2 linked regions of the Caenorhabditis elegans genome follow. The protein of the gene in region 2 purifies or fractionates together with the protein of the main gene of each other region. This does not show direct contact. Each region holds a gene or a part of one and is shown on either strand. Other genes may lie near its edges.

Region 1 (7,420 bases), on a different chromosome or scaffold from region 2:
GGATCCAGTCTTCTCGACACGTCATCAACACCAAATGCTGCAAGAAATGGCTCAGCAGCTGCTCCAACAGTTATTCCATCTCAAGATCAAGTTATTGCAGATCTTCTGTCACTTGATTTAAATGCTCCAGCCGCTAGTGCAAATACAGGAGCTTTTGGTGGAGCAATGAGCGGAACAACTTCTATGGGTGGCCTCGATGATCTACTGGGTCTTGGTGGAGATCCGATGCCAGCTGCTCCAACAAACTCGGCTTCCTATAATCCATTTGATGGTCTTGGTGGACTTGGAGGAGCTGCTCCAGCTGCACCACCTTCCCAACAGCCAGCTTCAATTGGAGGACTCGCTGAAATTTTTGGATCTGGTGGATTCGGTGGATCTTCTGGAATCACTTACCCCAAGGAATTATGGTTGGATGCTTCGAAAGCAATGGGAATGCAAGTGGAAGGAACATTTGTTCGACGTGGTGGAAAAATATTCATGGAAATGACAATTACGAATCGAGCAATGCAGGCGATTTCTGGATTTGCACTGCAATTTAATAAGAATTCGTTTGGGCTGATTCCGGTGGAACAAGTCAATCCGGCACCTATTTTGCCGAATCAATCGCAAAATGTACGCGGGATTTTGATAGATTTTGTGTGAAAAATTGGAAAACAACCTGAATTTTGGCTTAAAAATGGAGACTTTTCGAATATTATCAGTTGAAAAGCTTCGAAATTTTTTTTTTTCGAAATTGTCTAAAATATTACAAAACTAATTTTTAATGAAATTTCAAAAAAAATCGAACAAAAAACTTAAATTCTCGAAAAATGCGATTTTTTGTGAAAATTCGATAAGCTTTTTATTTAAAAAAAAAATTCCCCCGAAAAAATTAAAATGTTCAGTGAAAAATCCAAAAATATGGGATTTATCTTCATTTTTAAACTAAAAATCGATACTTTAGACTTAAAAAAAAATCGATTTTTTTAGTGAAAAATTTAAAAATGCGGGTTTTAACCAATTTTTCTTTATTTTTTATACTAAAAATCGATATTTTCTACTTTTTCAAAAAAAAAACGAATTTTTATTTTAACATGATATTTAGCGGGGTTTTCGTTAAACTAAACTGTGAATTCCAATTTTTTGCCAATTGTTGAGTTAATTTATTTTTCGAAATTGTCTAAAAATACTTTTAAAAATCAATTTTTAAACAAATTTCAAAAAAAAATTGAATTTAAAACATAAAATTCTTGAAAAATGGGATTTTTTGAACATTTACAGTTTTTTTTAACGAAAAAAAAATTCCCCCGAAAAAGTCGAAATTTACAATTAAAAATTCGAAAATATGGGTTTTTTTCTTAATTTTTATACTAAAAATCGATTTTCTCAACTTTTTTCAAAAAAAATTAAATATTTTCGGACCTAGTTTAGATTTTAACATGAGTTTCAGCGGTTTTTTGATAAAATAAGCTGTTTTTGAATTAATTAATTTTTTTGGTGTTTGAAAATTTCAAAAATTGAAAAAAAAAACAAAACTAAAACCTTTCTCAAAAAAAGAGAAAAATTTACGTTAAAATCTCAATAAATTCGAATTTTATTCGAAAAAAATGTTGTAAAATTTAAAATTTTTCACGAATTTATGCCAAAAAATTTTGGGAACCCAAAAAGTTTCTAATTTTTTGGATTTTCCAAAAAAAACATATAAAAATTCCTTTAAAACCTCAAAAAAATCAATAATTCGTTTAATTTTCCAGTACACAATCGCCTGTGACACGACGGGAGCAGTTCAAGTGACAACTCCACTCACAAATCTTCAAGTAAGTTGTAGTTTGTAGTATGTACAGAAAACTCTTTTTTTTTTTTTGAAAAACCAAGTTTTTTCCTATTTTTCAAGCTGAAAATCGATGTTTTGAGTCAAAAAAAAAAAGTGAAAAAAAATCAATAATTTAACGAAAAAACATGTTTTTTTTTTACATTCAAAAATGTATTTTTTTTAATCCTGACCTGTAAAAATTGCAAATTTAAAAAAAACCAACAAAAAAAAGCATTTTGAATTTGATTTATTGAATAATTTAACGAATTCGACACAAAAAAACCACGAAAACACAAAAAAATAATTAAATATACCGAGCCTGTGTAAAATACGAGGAAATAATTTCATTCTCAACTGCATAGAAAATTGTGCTCATCAATTGAGCATCAGTTGCCTGAGTATATTTCATATAATAACTTTTCTTATCATTATTCTCCTTCAAAATCTCCTTGAAACGACTTCGAATCGCATCCTTCAAATGATCATAATTCTCCGGTTTTCCCTTTTTTCCCTCTTTTTGAACTTTTGGAGGAATTCCGAGCACCTTCTCGAGCTGCCGCTTCCCATCTTCTTTCTGCATCATTTCTCGGCAAATCTCCTCGAATCGATCCTGTTTATTGAAGAATATCATTACCGTACACTCGTCGACTCCGTTCATTTCGAGAACTAGCTGAAAATCGATTAATTAATCGGAAATTTCCAATAAAAATTGGATTTTTTTCCAGATTTTTCCAAAAAAATCGGATTTTTTTCAAAAAAAATCGGATTTTTCCAGATTTTTTCCAGATTTTTCCAAAAAAAATTGGATTTTTCCAGATTTTTCCGAAAAAATTGAATTTTTTCCAGATTTTTCCAAAAAAATTGGATTTTTCCAGATTTTTCCAACAAAATGGGATTTGTTCTGGTTTTTCCAAAAAAAATCGGGTTTTTCCAGATTTTTCCTAAAAAAATCGGATTTTTTCCAGATTTTTCCAAAAAAATCGGATTTTCCATTCTTTTCTCACCTTGAAAATCGCTGCACTCTTGTCCAACACCGTTCGCCCTTTCACATCCTTATCAGGCTCCTGGAATGCGGCCAACGAGGAAACGTAGAGCAAAAAGCAATGTCCATCAGTAGTTAGAAATTGCCGCATGAATTGTGGGATTTTTACCTGAAAAGTGTCATTTTCCACTGAAAAGATTTGCTTTTTTTCAAACTAATTCGCTCTTTTGTCCTCCCATATCGTGAATTTCAACGCGAAGCTGCTTGATTCGGAATTTGTAGCTTTTGAATGAAACTGTTGGCTTACGAACGTGGACTGAAAGTTGTTTGGATTCACGTTGTGTCAGACTCTCTCAATACAGTTTGATCTACAAAAAATGCGGGAAAAATCAGATGAGATGTCTGCGTCTCACCTCCCGCATTTTTCGGAGATCAAAGCGAAATGGGACTTTCTGACTAGGAAAACTTACCAATATCATCATTGGTTAGCTGATAAGAATGCGTGAAAATATTCCGAATTCTTCCCTCGTCTTTCAAAAAGAATCGTGTTCCGTCCTCGATTTTGACAGGCGGTCCCTGATCCAAGCACCGGCGAATCTGTGGATCAGATAATATTTCGATGATGTACGCGCCGTATTCATCCTCGATTTGATTCGATATATCATAGATATCAACTTCTGCCTCGTACAGCTGTGAGCATCGTCTAAGAACCGCCGCAGCTGCTCCAGAGCTTCTCATATGCTCCTCGTCTGTCTCACGAACCTTACGGATCAGTGAGTTGGCCGCAGTGAGCAGATTGATTCGAACTACGTTCTTTAAGTTCTCGAGCTCATAGTTGTCAAAGATCTTCTCGCGATCTATCAGGTTCCAGCTGTCGTCGTACATCTGAAAATGTGGATTTCAAGTTTTGAATTTTGAATTTTAAATTTTAAATTCAAAAAAAATTGAATTCAAACCTGATAACTCTGCGGTTTCTGTATGCAAAGACATTTGAGCTGCCTGACGATCGTCGTCTTGCCGGCTCCTTCGATTCCGAGCATGAAGAAGTGAATTATATCGCCTTCCTGAAGGTTTTTTGTAGTTTAGAAAATGCTTCGTGAGCCCCAATTCGAAAGCTCTTGTGATTTCGGTACACCCCGATAATTGCAAAATTATTGGAGTTTTCCTGAAGTTGGCAAGCCTGCACATTCGTGTAGGCACGAAAATGCCTTCACCGCCTGCCTACAGGCAAAAATCACCACCACTAATTGGAAACCCCTTAAGCTAAATAAAATAGTTTTAAGGTGTTTCTAAATGGTTTTGAGCCAGATCCCCGCCCGCGAAGTTTGTGGCTAGAAGAGCTTGAAATTCGCCTATTGTAGGCACGAAAATGCCTTTACCGCCTGCCTACAGGCAAAACTCATCTCTATTGAGAACTTGGAAACTATAACTAATTGAACTAGTTATCAAAGTATTTCCAATTAGAAATAGTTCTTTGCCAGATACCCGGGAGATTCAAGCTTGTGGCTAGAAGAGCTTGAAATTCTCCTATGCCTGCACGCAAGAATGCCTTCACCGCCTGCCTATAGGCAAAAATCGCCACGGCTAATTGGAAAACCCTTAAGCTAAATAAAATAGTTTTCAAGGCACTTCCAATTAGACATGGTTTTGTGCTAGACGCCTGGGCTTCGTAGTAGGCAAGAATGCCTTCCCGCCTGCCTACAGGTAAATCTCGTCTCTACTGAGAATTACGGTTAACACAATACCGTTTATAATTGGAAAACCGCCTATAACTAATTAAACTAGTTTTCAAGGTATTTCCAATTCTAGCTTGTCCTAGGTTTCCTATCGAAACAATTCGTAAATTCTTCCGCGTAGGCACGGCTGCCTACAGGCATAACTCGCCTTACCTTCTTAGTCTTCTTTTTATTCTGCCCGTTCATCGTCGTAACCGTATCATTGCCGTCTTCCTCTCGGGAGCACAAGGATCCCATCGTGGCGAAGAGTAATCAAGCAGTATCGATTGATGACTGAAATGTTTTGTGTGTGTGTGTGTGCACGAAGGACGACGCCGCGAAGAGTAAAGGCAACGATAGATATGGGGTATTATGTGATTTGTTATCATAAGAAGAAGAAGCAGAGTGATTGAGGATTGAGGAGGCGGCAGGACGATGTACAAAACGTTTAATGCCATCGTAGTAGTGTCTGTGTGTGTGTGTTCTAAACAAACATTACCTCCTTTTTATTGATAAAAAGGTGTTACTCACCGCCATAAACATGGTGCATTTGTGCTAAAAGTGTGATTTTCAGGCGATTTTGAGCCCCAAAAGCTTGAGTTTTTTGCTTCAACATCCGGTTTTTTTTTTGGAAATTTGTTTTTCGTGCGTGCCAATTAAACGGTTTATTATCACTAAACTGGCAAAATTTCCTATTTTCAAAACGTTTTGCCAGTTTAATAATAATAAAAAGTTCAATTGGCACGTAAAAAAAAACTAATGTTCAAAAAAAAAACCGGCAAAAACGAAGGAAACTCGTTAAACAATTAACGTAAAAGTTGATGTGCAAATCTCGTAAATCGACACAACACAGCGCGCTCTAATGAGAATATATTTGGCCGGCATTTAAAAATAGTCGCTTGGGGTGCACATGTAGCGACTTCAAGCTGAAATAGAAAGTGATTGAATTTTTTTGAATTTTTTTCACATAAATATTCGAATTCAGCGAAAAATTTGGGGTCTCCACCTTAAAAAAGTAGATATTTTTCGATTTTCTTGGTGTTTAAAAAACTCAAAAGGCCCTCGGAATTTCAGTTTTATGACAAAAATTCCAATTTCTTCACATTTTGGAGCAAATAACCCAAGCTTTTGGGGCTTAAAATCGCCTGAAAATCACACTTTGAGCACAAATACACCTCGATTTGTTAGCGTTTTACTGTAAAACTCAAAAGCTCCACGGAATTTTCGTTTCCGTAGAAAAATTTATTGAAAAATATTTGAAATTATTTTTTTTTTTTTGAAAATCTCGGAAATTCAAATTATACATCAAAAATTATCACAAAAACTCCAATTTTTGTTTCAGGTTGCCATTAAAAACGACATCAACGCGTTCTACTTTGCCACCACAGTCCCATTGTTGGCCTATTTCCGAGAAGATGGACAAATGGAAAAACGTGAATTCCTTGAGGAATGGAAGAGTATTCCAGAGCAAAATGAGCAACAGTTTACCCTACAGAATACGCATAATATGAATGCTGGTGAGCGGGTTTTTTTCAGGAAATTTTTTTGAAAATTTTTGGATTTTTAACGAAAAATAAGAGTAATATTTCAATTTAAAACTCTGAAAACTGACATTTTTCAATTTTTTTTCAAATAAATCCGTTTTTTTAATAAAATATGAAATTTCAACGAAAATTATTAAAAACCGCTAAAAAAGTTTTTCCAGACAATTTTTCAATTTTTTTAAACCTGATAAAATATTGGAAACTTCAAAAAAATTCCAAAAATGACTTTTTTAAAAAATTTCCAGGAAATTCCAGTTTTTGAAGCACAATCTCGATTTTTACAAAGAAAAATTGTTTTTTGGAATTTTTTCTAATTAAAACTCACAATTTTTCAATTTTTAAACAAAAAGTATCAAACACTTCAAAAAAAAAATGCAAAAAATCTTATTTTTTGCCTTTTTTTTTAGAAAATTGCCAGTTTTGGAGGCATTATTTCGATTTTTACAAAAAAAAAATTAAAGATTATTTTACAGATGTAAAAAAAAGCGAATTTGCAGTTTTTAGAATTTTTCGAAACTTTCGAATAATTCTCCGGTAAATTTACATTTTTGTAAAAAAAAACAAAAAAAAATTCCATTTTTGAACTACAAATCTGTATTTTACAAAATTTTTAAATAAAAAACTAATTTTTTTCTCGAAATTTCCCATTTTTCAGACGCAATTTGCACAAAACTACAACAAAACAACATTCATACGGTGGCACGGCGACAAGTTGACAATCAACAACTTTTGTATCATTCTGTCAAGTATACGAACAATTTGAATGTGCTCTCAGAGCTCAAAGTCAACTCACAGACCACGTCGATTACGGTAGGTTTAACGGATATGCCTACCTGCCTGCCTTATGCCTACCATATGCCTACGTGCCTACCTTCTGCATACAAGCATACCTGTTACTAGATAGAACATTAAATTAAATGCGAAAATATCGGAAATCATCCCAAATTGAATTGTAGGCAGGACCGTAGGCAGGCAGGCATAGGCGGTAGGCAGGCGTGAGCCTGACGACCTATATGTTTTTTTGCAGCTCTCCCTAAAATCGAAGAATCTGATGGCGATTGCAAACATCAATGAAGTATTCCAAGCGCTTCTCAACTGATTTAAATTGCCTTTTCCCCTAAATAATTCTGAATTTCCCCCCAAATTTCACTTCTAATGTATTTTTGATTATTATTATTATTGTGAAAAAATCAGTCTTACCAAAAAAAAATTCTAATTTATTTTTATTATTTCTGCTGAAATTTATCCCCCGCTCCACACACAAGATATTTATTTATTTATTGAATGTTCTATAGATTTTCCAACACAAAAAAGTATAAAAGTTATTGCAATAACCCCCGTTTTTTCCGCTGTGACCGAGAAATTAACAAAAAAAAAGTCGGCCACC
Region 2 (7,633 bases):
CTGAATAAAAATGCATATAAAATAAGTTTAACAATAAGTTTTAAATTTTAAATTTTAAGTTTTTTTTTTTAATTTCTTATTGCTTACCATTAAACTGCCCGGAAAACCCATTTGCCGAAAAGTCGGGCAGCAAAGATTTTTGATTACGTTGATCCATCGAATTTCATTAGTGCAGTTAGATAATCTACAAATTGGCTATTAATACGGAAACCAAACCTATAAATAAATCTAGTAAAACGCGGAAAGCAGCAAAAAAAAACGCTTTCGTTACACAATTCGAATGACCGCCATCCTATTGATTTTTCGTCCGCGAGAGGAGGTCGGCGCAAAAGAACACATCGCAGTCGGTCGCGTGTGTTTACATGTGAGTAGTGGTTAAGGATCGGAGAGTGCAGAGAAAGAGGACAAGTCGACTGGACGGACGGACTGAGTGACTGTGTAAGGGCGAATAGGCACGCGGGTGTAATTATATGAAGGGTAATGGAAGAGATAGTGGCTGTACGGACGAGGATGTTTAAAACGTAGGCCATATTGATGCTTTCCGCGATTTTTAATACAGGAGACTAATCAAAAATAGACATCACGATAACTCATAAATGCATCTTTTCAATTATTACATTGTAAGGAAAAAGTAGAAAAAGCTTAATGTATTCACTTGATTTATTTTCAGGTTTAGTTTTTCCATCCGCAACAAGAATTTTAAGGAAAAAAGAAAAATGAATGAATAGTAACTTTTCAAATAGATAATACAAAAATACTGAACCTAAAAGTTTAAAAAATGTCTTATCAGGTTTGTTTCATTTTAAGTGTGCTGTGCATATGTGTTACCAACAGGAATCGTTTTTTTTTTTGAATGCATGTTTCAAATTCAGAAATTCCGTTGTCAATTTTTATTTTATCCGTAACAGAAAATAGAGAGAGTATACAAAATTACCACATATTGATTTTAATGAAAATCACCACAGTGAAGTCTTGTTCTGTTTTCGGAATTTCGAAGAGTGGATTATTTAAAATTTTTATTGCATCCAGTTCAACATTCTGAAAAAAATTTCTTGTGTTTTTTGAAATGAATAGCGCAGTTACAAAGACGGTGGTACATCGACCTGAAAGAACAGAAAATTTGCTATTTTTTCTGGTAGGACACTTTTTTGCTACTCGCAATTAACCAGTCTAAAATAATTTCCACACGTTTTAATGGTGGTAGCAAAAAAAAAATTTCTTGGATTTTTTTTGGAGTGAATAGTGTAGTTGCAAAGACGGTGGTACATCGACTTGAAAGAACAAAAAAAATTATATTTTTTCATGTACGGCACTTTTTTGCTACTCGGAAAATTCGAATTTCAAAAAAAAATTCAATACGGAGGAAACAAAAATAGCCATATTTTCAAAATAGGTATTTTTTTGCTGCCAGTGGTTAGACGTTTAGTGGAGATACACTTTACAAAGACAATTTGTATTTTTGATTAAAAAACAGCATAGTTTGAAATCTGCAACGTGTTATATACAGGTCTTTTTCATGTTTCATTCATTCAGTTAATTCGTCTTTGTTTTGGTAATAAATAAATTACGATTTTGTTTTGATGTTACGTTATTGCAAAATTAAAAATTCTTGATTTGTCTACGAAACTATGCTGTCAGAACTCGACAAAATCTAGTTGAAACATTTTTCATTCAGTATAAATAAAATTTTGGATTTGATGTGCTTCAATAAAATGTAAAAATTGTTTTATTACAAGTTTAAAGGTTAAACAATAAGTCAATACCTGAAATTGAAAAAGACAAGACCATTGCATTAATTTTCCAGATCAGTATTATTTTGAGAATTGCTTTAAAACGTTAATGCTAAAAACCTTTATTTGTAGTTTTTAAACCGGCTAAAGTGAGAAGTCTTATACATATGTTTTCCGCGTTGTTGTACAAAAATTGATATTTTAGAAACACTTTTTGTAAAATATTGAACTACTGTTCTTGTATACATAGAGAGCTGGTCAGAAAGAAATTCCCTTTTCTGTCAATTTTGTTATTTTTTTTAATGGCCTGCGAAACAAGAAATGCTATTGAAAAAAGTTAAACTGAAAAAAATCGCTTATAAATATGTCTATTTATTTTTATAAAGTTCAATTTGTCATAAACAGCATGACTAGAAATATAGCGGCCGACATCTCGAGAGTCAAATTTTAAATTATGGTTGTTAAAACAATTGAGACCATCTGTCAAAAACAGAGCCCGGTTCAATTCATTTAATCACCTTCGGCTCAAGATAATCAAATTCATCACTATGAAATCAAAATCTTTGTAGGCTTTGAAAAAGTATGTGAATTGAAATTGTGTTAAAATATTTTGAATCAAACACAATTATTATTAAAAAACAACAAAGACTCTTCAATATCAGAATTTAATTTTTTGGTGCGATTTTAAAACAATGATAATTGCCTATTCTGTTCATCACCGTCAATTTTAATAAATCACGTTTCTGTGTTACATCCGTTTTTCAAAATACCACTTCTGAGAATGTATTGAGTTTGTTCCAATACTAGAACGACAAGTCATAATTTTCCTATTCTCAAGTACTAGCTCTCCCTTCTTCTTCAAACATTTTTTTTTCTTCGTGCGGTTTTTTCCCAATAAAGTTCTTTCCAGTTGAAACCACGGAACATCTTTTGTTTTTGTCTCGCCAGACTTGTCGTGTAAATTCAATTTAATCAGTAAAATTTGACAGCAGCTTTGAGTTTTTGAGTCTATAAAAAAGGAAAATACAAATCCGGTTAAAATGTGATTTCTTGTTTCATATGATCAAAGTTTTTCTGGATACCACATTTTCGACATCAAATCGAAAGCTCTTGCATTTTTGAATTTACTGATACTCACAAACATCGAAGAAAAATGTTCCGGTCATCCGAGACATCTCGGCATTGCATCAAAGTTCTCGAAGGGTTAGTTATTACTACAAACTTTTCACAAGATCACTCTTACCAATCGTCACTTTTATTGTCTTCTTACCCTTTTCCCTCACGTTTTTGAATAATTGAGCGTGGTTTTTTTTCCCTATTTTTCGGAGGAGTCTTTTGTTAGAAAAAAAAAGAAACCCGACTCTTCATTTTAGAGAAAACCAATACAAATTGTTGATAGATCCTGTAACATTTTAGTTTCTAGCTTTCTGTTCAAACTTCATATGAAACTATAAATTTTGAGTTTAAAACTAAGTTTTATCAAAAAACAATATATGCATAATGAGTTGAAATTTTCGATTGTTGAACTTTTTAGTATTCAATTTTTACCGTGATTGGGGGATTTATCCGCAAAACTTATTGGCTTAAATACTCTTACCAGAAGCCAAAAACTATCAACAAAAACATTTCAACCATTACAAAAAACTCCGTTATCTTTTTCACAATTCTACACATATAAATTTTTGCAAAAAATATCCATAGCACTAGCTTTGAGAAAATAACTGATTCAACTAATTCTGGGCATTCTGGACAACGAGAAAGGCTCTCTAGTGAGTGTTATATGTAGGATTATCAATATGTCAATTTCACTGCTAACTGGCTCATCATGCCAAAGTTTTAGAAATTTTTCTTGAAAATACATACACGAAAAGCATAATTTTTTATTGAGAAAAACCAATTGGTTTCAAAGCTTCTTGCATTAAAAAAGAATTGAGCCTCCAAAGCTTGTCTTTTTTCCACTAGATTTTAAGAAATTTGAATATCCGTTTTCTTTATTTTTTGCTCAAAACCAGGACAGCTATTAGCTCTGTGCATGTTTGCGTTTTCTCCGAGCGCCATGCATCTTTTTATGTTTTGAACTTGAGATTATTTCTGGTAAGCATCTTTTTTCGGACGGTTTTCCCTGCGGGCTATTTTTCTTTGCCCGATTCGCACAGAGTCTATCTTGTTTATGGCGTTTCTGAAATCCAGATTCTTGAAGAAAGGCGTAAAACCAACTAAATATTCCCCAACCCGGAAACCAAAACCATAACAATGGCTAGGATCCCAAAATCCGATGCATGTTTTTAAAGTTAAAAAAAAAAACAAGTCATTTTTAAACTATTCCATTCGCTTTTCATTATTTTACAATTTTTTCAAAAATGAACAGAATGCGTCGATCAACTGCATTTTCGGAGCACGTGACTTTTCATACCGTCATGGCCAAAAGAGGAACCGGAAGTAAATTAGATCGAGAAGTGGAAATTCAGTTTACAAATTTACAAGTAAGTTTATTTTAATTTTCTTAGCTTATTGGAAAACTCTGAAATGTTTTTTACCTGTAAGATTAAGTTAAAAAAGGTTTTAAACTAGTAGAAAAAATATTTAAAAATATTAAAAAAAAAACTAAAACTAAACAGAACAATTTTTGAAGCCCCAGAATTGTTGCCAGCAACACGTTCTGAAATATGAAAACATTCATACACTGGGAACAATATTCATTTCAGTTAATCGGAACCGGTTCCTTTGGTGCTGTTTACAAGGCTGTGCTCCGCGAGAACGACGAGCCAATTGCAATTAAGAAAATCAAAGTTGACGATCGATTCAAGGTTTATTTTCATTTTTTATTACTTCAAGATACACAAAATGACCTTAAGAAACGAAAAAAAAACCTACTGAAACATTTTTCAGTTGATAAATTTACTATCAAAAATTGAGATTTTGAATTTCTGAGCCACCAGAAATTAATTTTAAGAACTTTTTTAAAATATTCACACTTAACTTTAACTTTATTTTAGACTCATTTCCGTAGTTGTACATAATTTTTTTGTTTTATTTACAGAGTCGAGAACTTACCATCATGCACGAAATGGACCATCCCAATATTATACGACTTCTGTATTATTACGTTATGCAGGTAACTTTTTTGATTAAGCTCACAAATTTGAGCTTACAAATGATGAGAATTCCAGCAAGAAAATTGCCTAAACTTCGTGATGGAATTTATGCCAAAAGATTTGGCATATGTCCATCGTCAATTTGCTCATAATGACAAACAAATGCCAGCCTATTCTATCAAGCTTTATATGTTCCAACTACTTCGGGGAATCGGTTTTCTTCATCTCCACAATATTGTTCATCGTGATATAAAGCCAAAAAATCTGCTCGTTGATGAGTCAAATGGGATACTTAAAATTTGTGATTTTGGATCTGCAAAACGTTTGGAGAAGAATGAGCCGAACATTACGTACATTTGCTCAAGATATTATCGTGCTCCGGAACTCATATTTGGCTCAAAAAACTATGATACCTCAATAGGTATTTGTGAAGTTGGGCATTTTAAATAGAAAATTTAATTTTCAGACACATGGTCAGTTGGCACTGTAGTTGGCGAGTTACTCCACAACTCTCCAATATTCCTGGCGGACTCGGCAGTTGATATTCTAGCGCTGCAAATCAAAGTGACAAATTGCACTATAGTCCTCTAAAAAAACCTGAAATTTTCAGGCATTCGGTACTCCTTCAAAAGAAGACATGGCTAAATGGAACTACGAATATGTTCATATTCCATACGATACAATAACCGGAGTTGGAATTCAGAAAGTAACTTTTTTCCTTCAAAAAAACATTCACTCGGCATTCGAAGGCAACTTCCTGCCACACTTTGGCAACTTATTTAGTGCCACTAAAATAAGTTGCCAAAGTGTGGCAGGAAGTTGCCTCTGAATGCCGAGCAAATGGTTTTTCTCTTATTTTCCCTGAGGTGCTCGAACTCCCAGAACCTAGTTTTTCTTAGAATAAAAATTGAACTTTTACCCGTCAGTATCTTCAAAAGTGTGTACTTAATTCCCAGTGGTGTTGGGTTTTAGGTTTTATGTCAAAAATTTTAAAAACAAACAGGAAATAAATCATAGTCATAAATAGTCAAATTTTGTGACTTTCGAAATGTTAGTAGTCTAGACGAGATACTTTTGAAGAGTTGGACTAAAAAAAGAGTATTAAGCTCAAATTGGATGCTGAAAAAATTGTAGTAAATTTTGAATTTCCCGAATAACCAGGTTCAGTTAATTTTGTGTAAAATGTTGGACGGGTAACAATGTCTGAGATTCTAAATTCTAAAAAGCGGTCTTTGTGTATAAAACAAATTTAAACTTTGTTTGGTTGACAATTACGGTTGGCATTATTTTTTAAATATAAAAGCCAAGAAAAGTAACAGAAATAAATGAATATTCAAAAAAAAAAAACTCAAATCGTCGATAGGTAAATTTTGAAAAATTGAATACATTCTGAAAAGCGAACAGTTTTGTCAACTTTTAAAATCTAGCAATTAAAAGTTTTCTTTAAGTAGGCAACTTTAAGTGTACGTACACAGCGGAATTTTTTTTCCATCATTTTTCACTTTTTTTAAAAAATAATTTATTGATGAAATTTGAGATCAATTAATAAAAACGCAATTTGTCGTGAGCACCTCTGTAGGCAGGCGCTGGTTGCTTGAAAGACATTACGTTGCATGACATTTTTGTACGAACTCAGAGTAATATATACAAATCCGGATTTTCAACAATATACTCTTCTTTTCAGTTCATTGGAAGAAAACTTTCCTTATCCACCCTCGAGTTGCTCAACAGTTTGATGAAAATGGATCCGAAACTTCGTATAAAACCATACGAGGCTCTGACTCTTCCATACTTCGATGATCTGAGAGACCCCCACTACAAGCTGCCCAGCGGTGCTCCGATCCCGCCACTTTTCGATTGGCTCGAGAGAGAGTACATTGCCAACCACGAGATAATTAAGGACATTTTCCCCCGGAGTGAGGAAGGCGACAAAGTTGAGTGCTTGTGAGAAGTTAATTACTTTGTTTATTAATATTTGCCCTCTTTAATTTTTAAGCGTTTTTTTTTCAAACTTTTTGTAAGAAAGCTTTACCGCTTTTTGTATAAAAATGTAGGCAATTTTGTAGACAATGTTCATACATTTGTATATATTGATAACAATCAAGTGTATCAGAGAGAAATAAATAATAACAAAAATTGAGAGACAAATAAAGAGATGTTTGATTTCAGTTCAGATATTTTTTTGAAAACTTGAATGAAATGATGAAGATAGCTGCGATATTTGAAAAATCATATTTTAATAAATTAGGTGTGCGTGTTCTAAGTTCAAAAGTTTAAATAATTACATTTTATAAGTAGAAGAGCAAATTTTTTCAGTAGCCGCAAAAGTCATAAAAAACGAAAGAATTTAGTTTTGCCTCAAAGTCCGCAAACAGATGTTTAACTTAACAGTTTTATAGTTTTACATGTTTTTTGTTAACTTAGGCTTTTTACAGCAAATTTGATATTGTTTTTGCACTTGTTGCCCAAAATTATGGCCTAAATCAAAATTTAAAATAAACCATAAAAAATGAGAAATTATTAAATTAAAATTGTCACGAGCAGTTCGTCAAATTTTAGGCTACATCTTATTTTTATATATTTTAGACACTTCAAAATTTAAAATTCGCTACTTCAACCATTAAAAAATTTTACAATTACACACTGACAAAAAAATGATCCCTAAATTTCAAATTTAGGACTTGCTTTCCAGAGAACAGAAATCCAACTTTAGGTCTTTAATTCATTGAAGAAATGTGATTTTTATCTGTTTAGAAAGCATTTTCAGTCTTTTCTGCCATATAGGCTAACCCGATAACTTGCAAAATT

What was found.
Region 1: the proteins of C44H4.6 (region 2) and gpa-17 fractionate together in Caenorhabditis elegans (co-fractionation; one large-scale study listed by BioGRID). This does not show direct contact.

The regions. Positions count from the first base shown.
Region 1 is NC_003281.10:2,583,918-2,591,337, reverse strand, and holds gpa-17 (G Protein, Alpha subunit), read right to left. Parts: upstream 4,784-7,420; 5' UTR 4,748-4,783; coding exon 4,664-4,747; intron 3,839-4,663; coding exon 3,731-3,838; intron 3,660-3,730; coding exon 3,245-3,659; intron 3,091-3,244; coding exon 2,990-3,090; intron 2,944-2,989; coding exon 2,797-2,943; intron 2,463-2,796; coding exon 2,097-2,462; 3' UTR 2,026-2,096; downstream 1-2,025. Other genes in the region: apb-1 (AP complex subunit beta), read left to right, coding at 1-612, 1,734-1,796, 5,832-6,006, 6,689-6,843, 7,061-7,132.
Region 2 is NC_003284.9:14,595,616-14,603,248, reverse strand, and holds C44H4.6 (Protein kinase domain-containing protein), read left to right. Parts: upstream 1-3,903; 5' UTR 3,904-4,090; coding exon 4,091-4,213; intron 4,214-4,435; coding exon 4,436-4,537; intron 4,538-4,770; coding exon 4,771-4,845; intron 4,846-4,900; coding exon 4,901-5,246; intron 5,247-5,291; coding exon 5,292-5,389; intron 5,390-5,435; coding exon 5,436-5,531; intron 5,532-6,509; coding exon 6,510-6,773; 3' UTR 6,774-6,990; downstream 6,991-7,633. Other genes in the region: EOR-2, read right to left, coding at 88-157.